2 linked regions of the Drosophila melanogaster genome follow. The protein of the gene in region 1 purifies or fractionates together with the protein of each later gene. This does not show direct contact. Each region holds a gene or a part of one and is shown on either strand. Other genes may lie near its edges.

The links.
Region 2: the proteins of Ada2b (region 1) and Taf9 purify together in Drosophila melanogaster (affinity purification with western blotting; 4 studies listed by BioGRID, with this or other methods). This does not show direct contact.

The regions. Positions count from the first base shown.
Region 1 is NT_033777.3:8,236,566-8,242,268, forward strand, and holds Ada2b (transcriptional adaptor 2b), read right to left. Parts: upstream 3,951-5,703; 5' UTR 3,859-3,950; coding exon 3,745-3,858; intron 3,042-3,744; coding exon 2,166-3,041; intron 1,688-2,165; coding exon of another isoform or gene 1,618-1,687; coding exon 1,538-1,617; intron 1,471-1,537; coding exon 873-1,470; 3' UTR 549-872; downstream 1-548. UniProt on the Drosophila melanogaster protein: Component of several Gcn5-containing histone acetyltransferase complexes that regulate nucleosome organization; involved in acetylation of histone H3, particularly on Lys-10 (H3K9ac) and Lys-15 (H3K14ac).
Region 2 is NC_004354.4:17,840,213-17,843,868, reverse strand, and holds Taf9 (TBP-associated factor 9), read right to left. Parts: upstream 1,709-3,656; 5' UTR 1,611-1,708; coding exon 1,460-1,610; intron 1,396-1,459; coding exon 710-1,395; 3' UTR 521-709; downstream 1-520. Other genes in the region: CG8142 (uncharacterized protein), read left to right, coding at 1-300, 363-449; CG6398 (uncharacterized protein), read right to left, coding at 2,770-2,879, 2,942-3,107, 3,174-3,514, 3,580-3,656. UniProt on the Drosophila melanogaster protein: TFIID is a multimeric protein complex that plays a central role in mediating promoter responses to various activators and repressors.

The DNA of each region.
Region 1 (5,703 bases):
TCGTTTTTAGTTATAATGGTAAAGAGAATAAATTTGTTTAAATATATGATATATTTTTGTAGGTATACGGTTACAGAGTGCATGCTTTAGGGTGCCGCATTGGACGAACATAAGCTAGGATAAATAACTAGTGGGTTTCTTGAACTGAATGAGTGATTTTGTTAAGTTTATAATACCGAAGAATGTCATTAGATAACCGCATTTTCATTTAACAAGTTTTAATCTTCGCTAATTTATAAAACATTCCATATGTGTTAACATATTAGATATTTATATATTTTTTCCAGCATTGTTTTCCATTCCTCAGCCTAGTACATTGATTATCATGCTCTCATGGGCTTTAATGAATTACGTTCAAATGCATTGTTCAGAATCTTGCCTAGAAAACTAGCTACCATAAGAAATAATATACGAATATAAATACTCAACGCGGTATTATCGCTATCAGAGGCTTACTCAATACCTTACTTCTTACATATCCTAGCGGCATTCAGTCCAAAGCGGTCTCCCAGCTGTGAGATCCGAGAAACAAGTCGCGTCCTTGTTGTACATTCACTATTACATTTATTACTTCATTTACAATTCATATCATACATATTCAATTGGTTGGGTCCCCTACTTAAGCTTAGTTAATACACAATATCTGAATCCCGACATCTCACACAAAGGAACAACACTTATTGTAATTGAGCTTGACTTGATACAAGTAAATTGATTTTCAGTTTTGTAGTTTTTACCTTGATGAAAATGCCAACGACAGTTGAACAGTATAAAAATGTCTTTAACCTATTCTAACTAATACAAAAATAAAGTGAAGTCCTTGGAAATGCATGTGGCTCTTAATCGAAGGGGAGCGGGAAGTTGGAAGATGTTCAGTGGCTCAGCCAGCCGCACTTGATAAAGAACTTGCGCAGCGAAGTCTCCATAGGACTACCCAACGATGGTGCTCCGCTCAAGCAGACAGTCTTAACCGAGAGGTAGGTGGTGGGCGTAATATTATGCTTCTTGCACAGATCCAGCTCGTTGTGACTGAGCAGTTCACTGCCCGGCGGCTGTGGCAGATGTTTTAGTTCCTCCAGCTGGGTGCGCAATTTCAGGCTCATGCTGGGCACCTGATCACTGCCTCCGCCGGCGGCCTCGTTTTGCATTTTGTGCTGGTTGCCGCTTTGCAGGAGCTGAGGATGCTGCTGCAGCGGCTGCAGATGTTGTTGGCTTCCCTTCGCCGAGTTCGTTGGCAGATTCGCCATCGTCGTAGCCGTGGAAGTCACTCCCGTCGTCGCTCCCGAGTCCACTGTTACCCCCATTACCATTCCCGTCGTCTGCAGCATCGTAGCTGCCGACGATCCCCGACAGCTATCCAAGTAGTTTTTGCTGGGCAATAATGCGCCGGAGCAGGTCGGGTCGGCGATGTGGAGCGTGTTTCTTGGTGCGATTGAATTTGAACTTGCCTCGCCGCCGCTTGACATTTCGCTAAATAAACGAAAAACCGAATTATTCAAGTTCTAAGGTAATTGCAATTTTTTGCCAAAATACTTACACCTTTCTGAGATTCGGTTGTGGGGAGTGCAAGGAAGAGCTTGGCGGCCGATGACTTCCATTGGAGGTATGCGTGTGGTCCTGTGGTTAAACATTGTCTTATAGAACCATTCGAACGCTCGTTGTTTGGCGCGTTTATTATGCAGTGGAGCTGAATATCGTGAGACAAGACGGAAAAGCGATTGTAAGAGTTGGGTCAGTTCAGGTAAGGACGACGGTTAAAGCAAGGCAGAACACACGATATTCAACTCGTCATGCATTCTCAGTGGGAAAAGCTTACTCCAAGGGGAATGAAATCGAAACTAGCCAATTTGACCATTTAATATTCTGTATTAAGTATTCCAAATCGATTTATCCAAACTTTTATCTATACATTCAACTTAAATCATTTGTTTTCTTTCAATTTAAGTTAATCTACTCATTGTTGATAAAATTATAAAGCTACCGGTTCCGGTCACCTAACACCTCTTTTAATTTTTGTGAAACAATCGAAAGAAAAGGTAATGTTTGGATTTTAATAATAAAAAAAAAAATAACAAAGTTCCAAAAAGTTCGGATTTTCAAGACCAAATAAAATATTTAATGGTTAGTTCGATTTCGGCACCCCTGTTGCGGAGCCTTAAACTTACGGTCTTGCCATGGCCATATGGTCCTGTAGAGCGGTGCGTCGCTGTTGCGGCGTGCTGCTCGAAATGTGTGCATTCCGCGATTTTGGTCAGGCCATTATACCGGTATCGGTACAGCTCTGACTGTCGAATGCGCAGTTCCTTTTCGCGCTCCAGTGATCCCAATAGCCGCTCATACTCGTTACACGTGTAGAACTGGGCGTAGACCCGAAATCTGTCCCGAAACTCGCGCTGCTCCTTGGTGAGTCCTTGTTGCTGAGCGTAATTTCTGTTTCGGAAGAAATTTGATACTAATTGATAGTCCCTGACCATCCGTTTCCTGCGAGCACGCTCTCTGAGTCGGCGGGTGTATATGTCAACGTGGGCCAGCTTAAGCATCACATCCACCTCCGTATCCTCGGAGCTTAATGAGATGTTCGAGATCAGTTGCTCTGCCGTGGGATCGTACTCCCGCTCAAAGCTGTCCCTGTTGGGCATGTAGCCCAGCTGCATGGCCTCATCGGAGTTGATTTCCAGTGGAGGCAAGGTAGAGAGAGCATTGGTGCCCAGAGGACCAGCGTCGTCGTCTCCAGTGTGATCGATAAGGCGGGGTCTCTGGCTCTGGGCCGGCGTCCAAGTGGCCCTTCCAATCGTGCCATTTACAAACTTATTCACGTACTCCTCTTTGGCATCCTCCGCTGACTTCGTCTCAATGTGCTTGCTAATGTCCTCCCAGTTTCCAAAGCCGTACTGCTCGATTGCATCCAACAGGCGGATTTCCTCTCGTGCCGTCCACGCCCCCTTTCCACGAAATACACTCAATATGGAAGTGCCGGTGTCCATGAACTGGTAGGAGTGGTTGTTTTGATGGGCGCCGATCTCCGCACCTGCGGCAAAGCACTGCGCAAAAAATAAACAATACAATATAAATACAGAGTCAGCTGTTTTTTAATCAATATGGTGAAATTGCCGGTTGTGTGTATGTATTATTTGAATGTCTAGATGAGTCAGTTTTTGGTTCCAAATTGGCGACGCATCTCTAGATTGTACGAGTGTGGGTGTAACAGGGTGGGTCGATTATGTTGACAAAGAAAACGTGTAAATAGTTCCTCGATAAAAATAATTTGATTAGGAAATTAAAACAGAAACATATTTCATATTCCCTAAATTTACGCTTTGTCAGGCCTTTTTTTAATACAAGATTCAGACACTTATTTTGACATTTTTTTCTTTTTAATTTATGGCATTTAACTAAATAAAAATGACACTGCTAATTCGTAAGGAAGTAATTTTTAATTAAATTAACTACGATAGTCTACCTATTTACCAAAATCAATAAACAAATTTCCTTTAAATTAACAAAAAGTTAAAGCAAATATTTTTCTTGTCAAGATCTGGGTGACGTTAATTTAGAGGATTGAGGCCATATGGCCATTAGTTTGACCATCCAAAGAGGGTGATTCAAGAATATTTTGTTAAAATAACTGATTTTTATTATTTACAAATCTATATACAAGTATCTAGAACCTCAAAAAGAGCGAACCACCCTACTGCAACATGTATACGTGCGTCGCTCGACGGCGTGTATGTGTGAGTTACTTACTTGCAGACACAAATCGAAGTTTTCGCACTCCGCGCAGTGCACTCGAATGCCCTGAATATCATCCTGGCAATTTGTGCAATTATACTTTGTGAATAAATCCGCGATTGTGGTCATTTTGGGCCAAAACCTGGATTTTCACGACAATTATGAGTTGTGCGAAAAAAACCTATGCCAGTAATGTGACCAGACGCGAAGTCAACGCCATATTGCTCTACTGAGAATTCTTATATGTACGGCCAACGAACCGAACCAGTTCATCGGAACAGTGCCGCCTATATAGCTAGTCTTAAAGCCTTTTTAGCTAATTTTCATAATTCTGTTGAATCTCTGAATTATAGTTAATTTCTAAATTATACTACTTACCAAAAGTACCAACACATTAAATATAGAATACAAATTTCAAACATTAGGCACATGTTCAAAACTCTAATGTTTATGCGTTAAATATTGATAGTAGTTTATTTAATTATTTTAAAAGTTTAATTCGAGTGTTTTGCCTTTTTTAAATTATCACAAAAAATAATATTAATATATATAAAATAAAACTAAAATAAAAGAAGTGCATATCAAACCAAAACAAGGTAAACATAAATACGAATATGTGATGGTTGAAACATTTGTAGCGTGGTGCTGAATAAAAATATAAAAAACTCATGTGCTTAAATGCAGTTCGATACGTAAATTTAAGCGGTGGTCAGGATTAAAAACTTAAGCTAAATTCTGAGTTACAAAAAAAATATAAAATGGGTAAATATCTTTTGTTTCAAACAAAAAGTGTAAAAGTAATAACTGCCGAAAAATATTTCGGTTGCTTACATCTAACATGAATAGGGCGTGGGACTGCCGAGATATTGTAGGTTACAATCATTACAATCATTGGGAAGGATTTGGGGTAGGCTACGCTGTATAAATAGTTGATTATTCGATTAGTTCATATGGTGAATACGTTTATATTATTGTTAGTATTGCTGTCTTACACCGAGCAGTAGCCGAATTGTTATGGGTTCCAGATATCTCAGTGGGCGGTGAGGACTAGTTTGTGTTGCATGTGGCTTTGGTGGCATTGTTGCTAGTTTACTCTTGCTAGTTAGCTTGGACCAGAGAAAAACAAAACGAGTTACACGATACAAAATGGGTTAACAGATCTTAAACAGATATGGCAAGTTACTTGTGCAGCTGCGCTTTTCAAAAACACGCACACGGCCAACAAAATTTATCAATTCGAGTACCTAAAAACGTCTAAATAAGTCTATTTGAGCGCCAAATTCGGTTTTGGTGTCGCACCTGCGTCTGATCCTAGGGACTGAAGTATGTTTAACAATACTGTTCGAGGACATTCAAGAGTTTGAGATTCACGATTTTCACAGATACGGTTCGATTTGAATTCGCTTGCGTAAGGAACTAAGGAAAAGTCACAGCGCAGGCGCGACCCCAGTCGTCATAATTGACGACTGGCAACGGAAACAGATCCATGTCCAGATCCGTCTGAACCGCCTGCTCCCAGCATCGAGACTCATAAGCAGGCGGCCGCGATGGATGGGCTCTCAAAATTTGCATAAGCGAGTAGTCCTAAAGCATAACTATCAACTAATTTGGTATGTAAAGTCTTTGTGTCTTTGTCATGGGCATTGGCGCGATGAGGGCTCAAGGTCCTGTGGCAATGGCCAACTAGCAACAGTATGACCAACATGCCGGCAGATGCCACAAACTCTGCACCATACTCACTCGGATATGGGAACCGATTCGCTGTGCTCGGTGTCTCGTCTTTGTCTCTAAACTCTCGCTGCTCATCGTCATCGTCTTGGGAAGCGTCTAAACATTGGCTAAGCTTGGCGGGGATCACTGGTGTGGTGAAGCTGGAATAGGTGCTGACATGGCTTTTGGCGGCGCTCAGCCCAACAATATGCATATGATTGCACACACTGTGCTCGATTTCGGGATGGCTGCTGTTGTTGGTGA
Region 2 (3,656 bases), on another chromosome or scaffold:
GGCGGAGATCTGCGACGCGCTATCACCACCTTGCAGTCCTGCTACCGCCTTAAAGGGCCCGAGCACATCATCAACACTGCTGATCTGTTCGAGATGTCGGGCGTTATACCGGAGTACTATCTGGAGGATTACCTGGAGGTCTGTCGCTCTGGGAACTACGAGCGCCTGGAGCAGTTCGTGCGGGAGATTGGCTTCTCCGCCTACAGCGTTGGCCAAATGATGGAACAGTTCGTCGAGTTCATTGTCCATCATCCGGGGCTGAATGATCCGCAAAAGGCCACGATCTGCGATAAGCTGGGCGTACGTACTGACTGCATAGATAGATATGATTCCTCTTGTTTATTGCTGCCTTTATCCCACAGGAATGCTGCTTTCGACTGCAGGACGGCGGCTCCGAGTATCTGCAGATCATGGACCTTGGCTGCTGCATCATCTTAGCTTTAAAGTAATCTCATCCCACTCAGCACATTCATTACATGTACTTTATCCGCGACTGGAGTCTAAAATAAATGTTATATTTAATATGAAAATCTGGTAGTTGTATTTGTGTATAAAACGTAGATTTCATAATGATTAACGGGCGAATCTATACTAAGGTTTTTGGGACTTCACATTCGAGTTGAAATTTAGACCCCCAGTTCGCTCAACCAAATGCAAGTGCTTTGGTCTGGTTTAAGAATATTAATTTAAGGTAAATGATGTCGTTTCGCTAGTTGGTCACAAACTCAAACTCCTCCTCCTCACGTTCCCGCTTGACGGCCACTCCAACGCCAGATGATCCTCCTCCTCCTCCTCCTCCGCTGGCACTTCCTGCTCCCGAACCGGATGCGCCAGCGATGCTGCCCACGGCCGCCGCATCGCTGTCCACCTCCATCTTGAGATCTCCGCCGGCGCCGGTGCTCTCGCTCTTAACCTCCTGACCACCGCCGCCCCCAGATCCGCCGGAGCTGCCCACCGTTTTCGTTGTCGTAGTGGTGGTAAACTTGATGACGGGCTTGGGAATGGTCACCACCTGCTGCTTGGCCACCACGGAGTGTGGCCTCTTCGGACCATTGGCGCTGGAGACGGGCTTAACGACGGTCTTCAGTGGACGGCCCTCCACCGCCGACTTGGTCATTTTCTTGGGCTGATTAGTGGCCCGCAGTTTGTAGTTGACGCCGGTGAGACAGTAGCGGTCGGGCGGCAGTCGGAGACCGCAGTGCGGCTTAATGGGTGGCAGGGGCATGCTGTTGCGCACGTCGGCCACCTTGGCTAGAACGTGGCGCTCCAACGGCCCGGTGAAGCTCTTGTCCAGCGTAACCTCGGTGGCCAGACGCACGTCGTCCAAGTCGATGGTCTTCTTGCGCGCATGGTTGGCGTACACCTTGGCGTCGTCCAGAATGCAGGTTACATAGCCTGCAATGCAAGACAGCATTTAGGAAAATGATGTGGGAAAAGCAAGGCATTAATCGCCGCTTACGGAAGGTGAACTCCAGCAGTTGGTTGACCACGCGCGGCTCGTACTCCTGGACATTCAGCTCCTTCAGGATGGACATGATCACCTGCGCGTCCTTCGGCACGTGCTTGATTTGGGCACTGATCTTGGCCTTATCGGACTTCTCTGCGCTCATACTTCTATAGTTATTATGTTTACGTCGGCTTTGCTGCAAGAAGATTGTTTATTCCATTGAAATTGTGCACGTACATATATACGGGTCTATCGGAAATCGGTGAGCTTATGCGATACTATCGATGCAGACGTCTAGTGTGGAAAACGCCGCTGGACTGCAGGGTGGCAACTCTGGCTCTGGCCATTTAAAAAAAACGGCTAAATTAGAAATCGATTTTTAAATGTAGGAACAAATCTAATGAAGCTTATCCAAAATATTAAACAATAAGCATATTTCTACCAGATCACATAACACCACATTGGCATAATAGGTGGACCAATAGGTGGAATATTAACTATCAGAAACAACAATTTCAAAATATTTCGGAATTAACGAAACGAGAACAAATGGCAGAGTGAAATGAAGACTACAATTCTGTTTAGTTTTAATAAAGTCAAAAATTTCTCTCACACGACTTGATAAGCTTATTAACAAAACTTGAATACCCCAGTTGTGGAAAAACAAAAACGAAGTCCCGCCAAAAGGAGCTAAAAACTGTTAAATTAACGTAAGAAACTTTTATTCATTAAACGTACAGCTCTACATACAATATGCACTATACTTGGAAGACAATTGAAGCTTGTCGCGCATTATTACATTCATATACATTGTACAATGAAACTTTTAGCTTAGATACATACACATATTTCTTTATTATTATTTTAGATACGCTACATGTACGTTACGTGCTACAATAAATTAACTCTTTATTGTTCCGTCTTTAAATCGCCATCTCGCCGTGGTCAACATATAAAACCATCCATCCATTCGTCTCTCTTAGATATTTGCAAAATAACGCGCAAACAATTCGCGCACCAAAAACTTGGACGCAACTTTGACTCAAGTCCCACGATCAGTTATACATACAAGCATATATATATATACTATATAGCTCTATATAGACTACAAACTAGATTCTTGTCGAAAAAAAAAATTGATGCTTTAAGTAATATTTTCATTGTCAGAATGTATGCGTTTTAAGATTTCGTTAGCGCTTGCTCTATTTTGATTACTGGGGAGGGCTACCAGGTTCCCTCCTGGTCATGATTTGTGATCTCTATGTCTCTATAACTCAATTGCAGCTGCTGGCTGAAGCTGGCTGGCCCCTTCGGGTGTGCCTCTAGTAGTTGTAGGGTCCGTACTGCGAGCCATGATAGTAAGGTCCTGGGTAGATCTGCGGCTGGGCGTAGTTGGCATAAGGGGGATAGGGTGGCTGCTTCTGCGAGTAAACTGGAAATGGAAACCGAAAATTAGTCATTAGTTATATTAGAGGGTCAGCACGATGGACATACCTGGCATCAGGTACTGCAGGTTCAGCTGCTCCTCCTTCTCCCGCTCGTTGCGCAGGCAAACGGCCGCGCCGGAGAGCAGAATGGACGCCAGGAGACAGGTTCCGATTCCTGCCCAGGCCACGATGTACGACCAGTCGTAGGCGATCTTCGTGTTGTCGCGCAGGACCTAATAAATCAAGATATTCATCATTAGTTAATCCACATACATGCCCAATGCAGCTGGTGTACATACCGTGTTCCACTGCTGGAAGTAATCCTCGCCCACGACCTTCTCCTTCTCAAAGAACTCGACGGTGTGCCAGAGTCCCATGGCGCCGGCGGCCAGGAGACAGGTGACTAGCAGCAGTATCGAGGTGGCTGTGATGGCGCCCGACGACCGCTTCCAGCAGCCGGATAATCCGGTCCAGAACGCACAGAAGATGGTCACAAAGCTGATGATGAACAGAGCGATGCAGGAGCGGGCCAAATGGAGACGCGATGTGGCGTCCTCGTTGGCGATCTTCTCGTCCTCCGCCTGCGGGAAGTAGTCGATGTTCGAGCAGTGTGTCTCGATCGGTGACAAATAGGTGGGCACTGCGCGACGGGAATGGAAATGGATTAAATAACTCCCATGTGATGTAAAATGCAGCATTACTCACCCGCTGAAACTGGCGGCCGCTCCTTGGGATAGCAGATCCGGAACAAGCCTCGTGTCCTCGTGTAGTAATAGTACTTC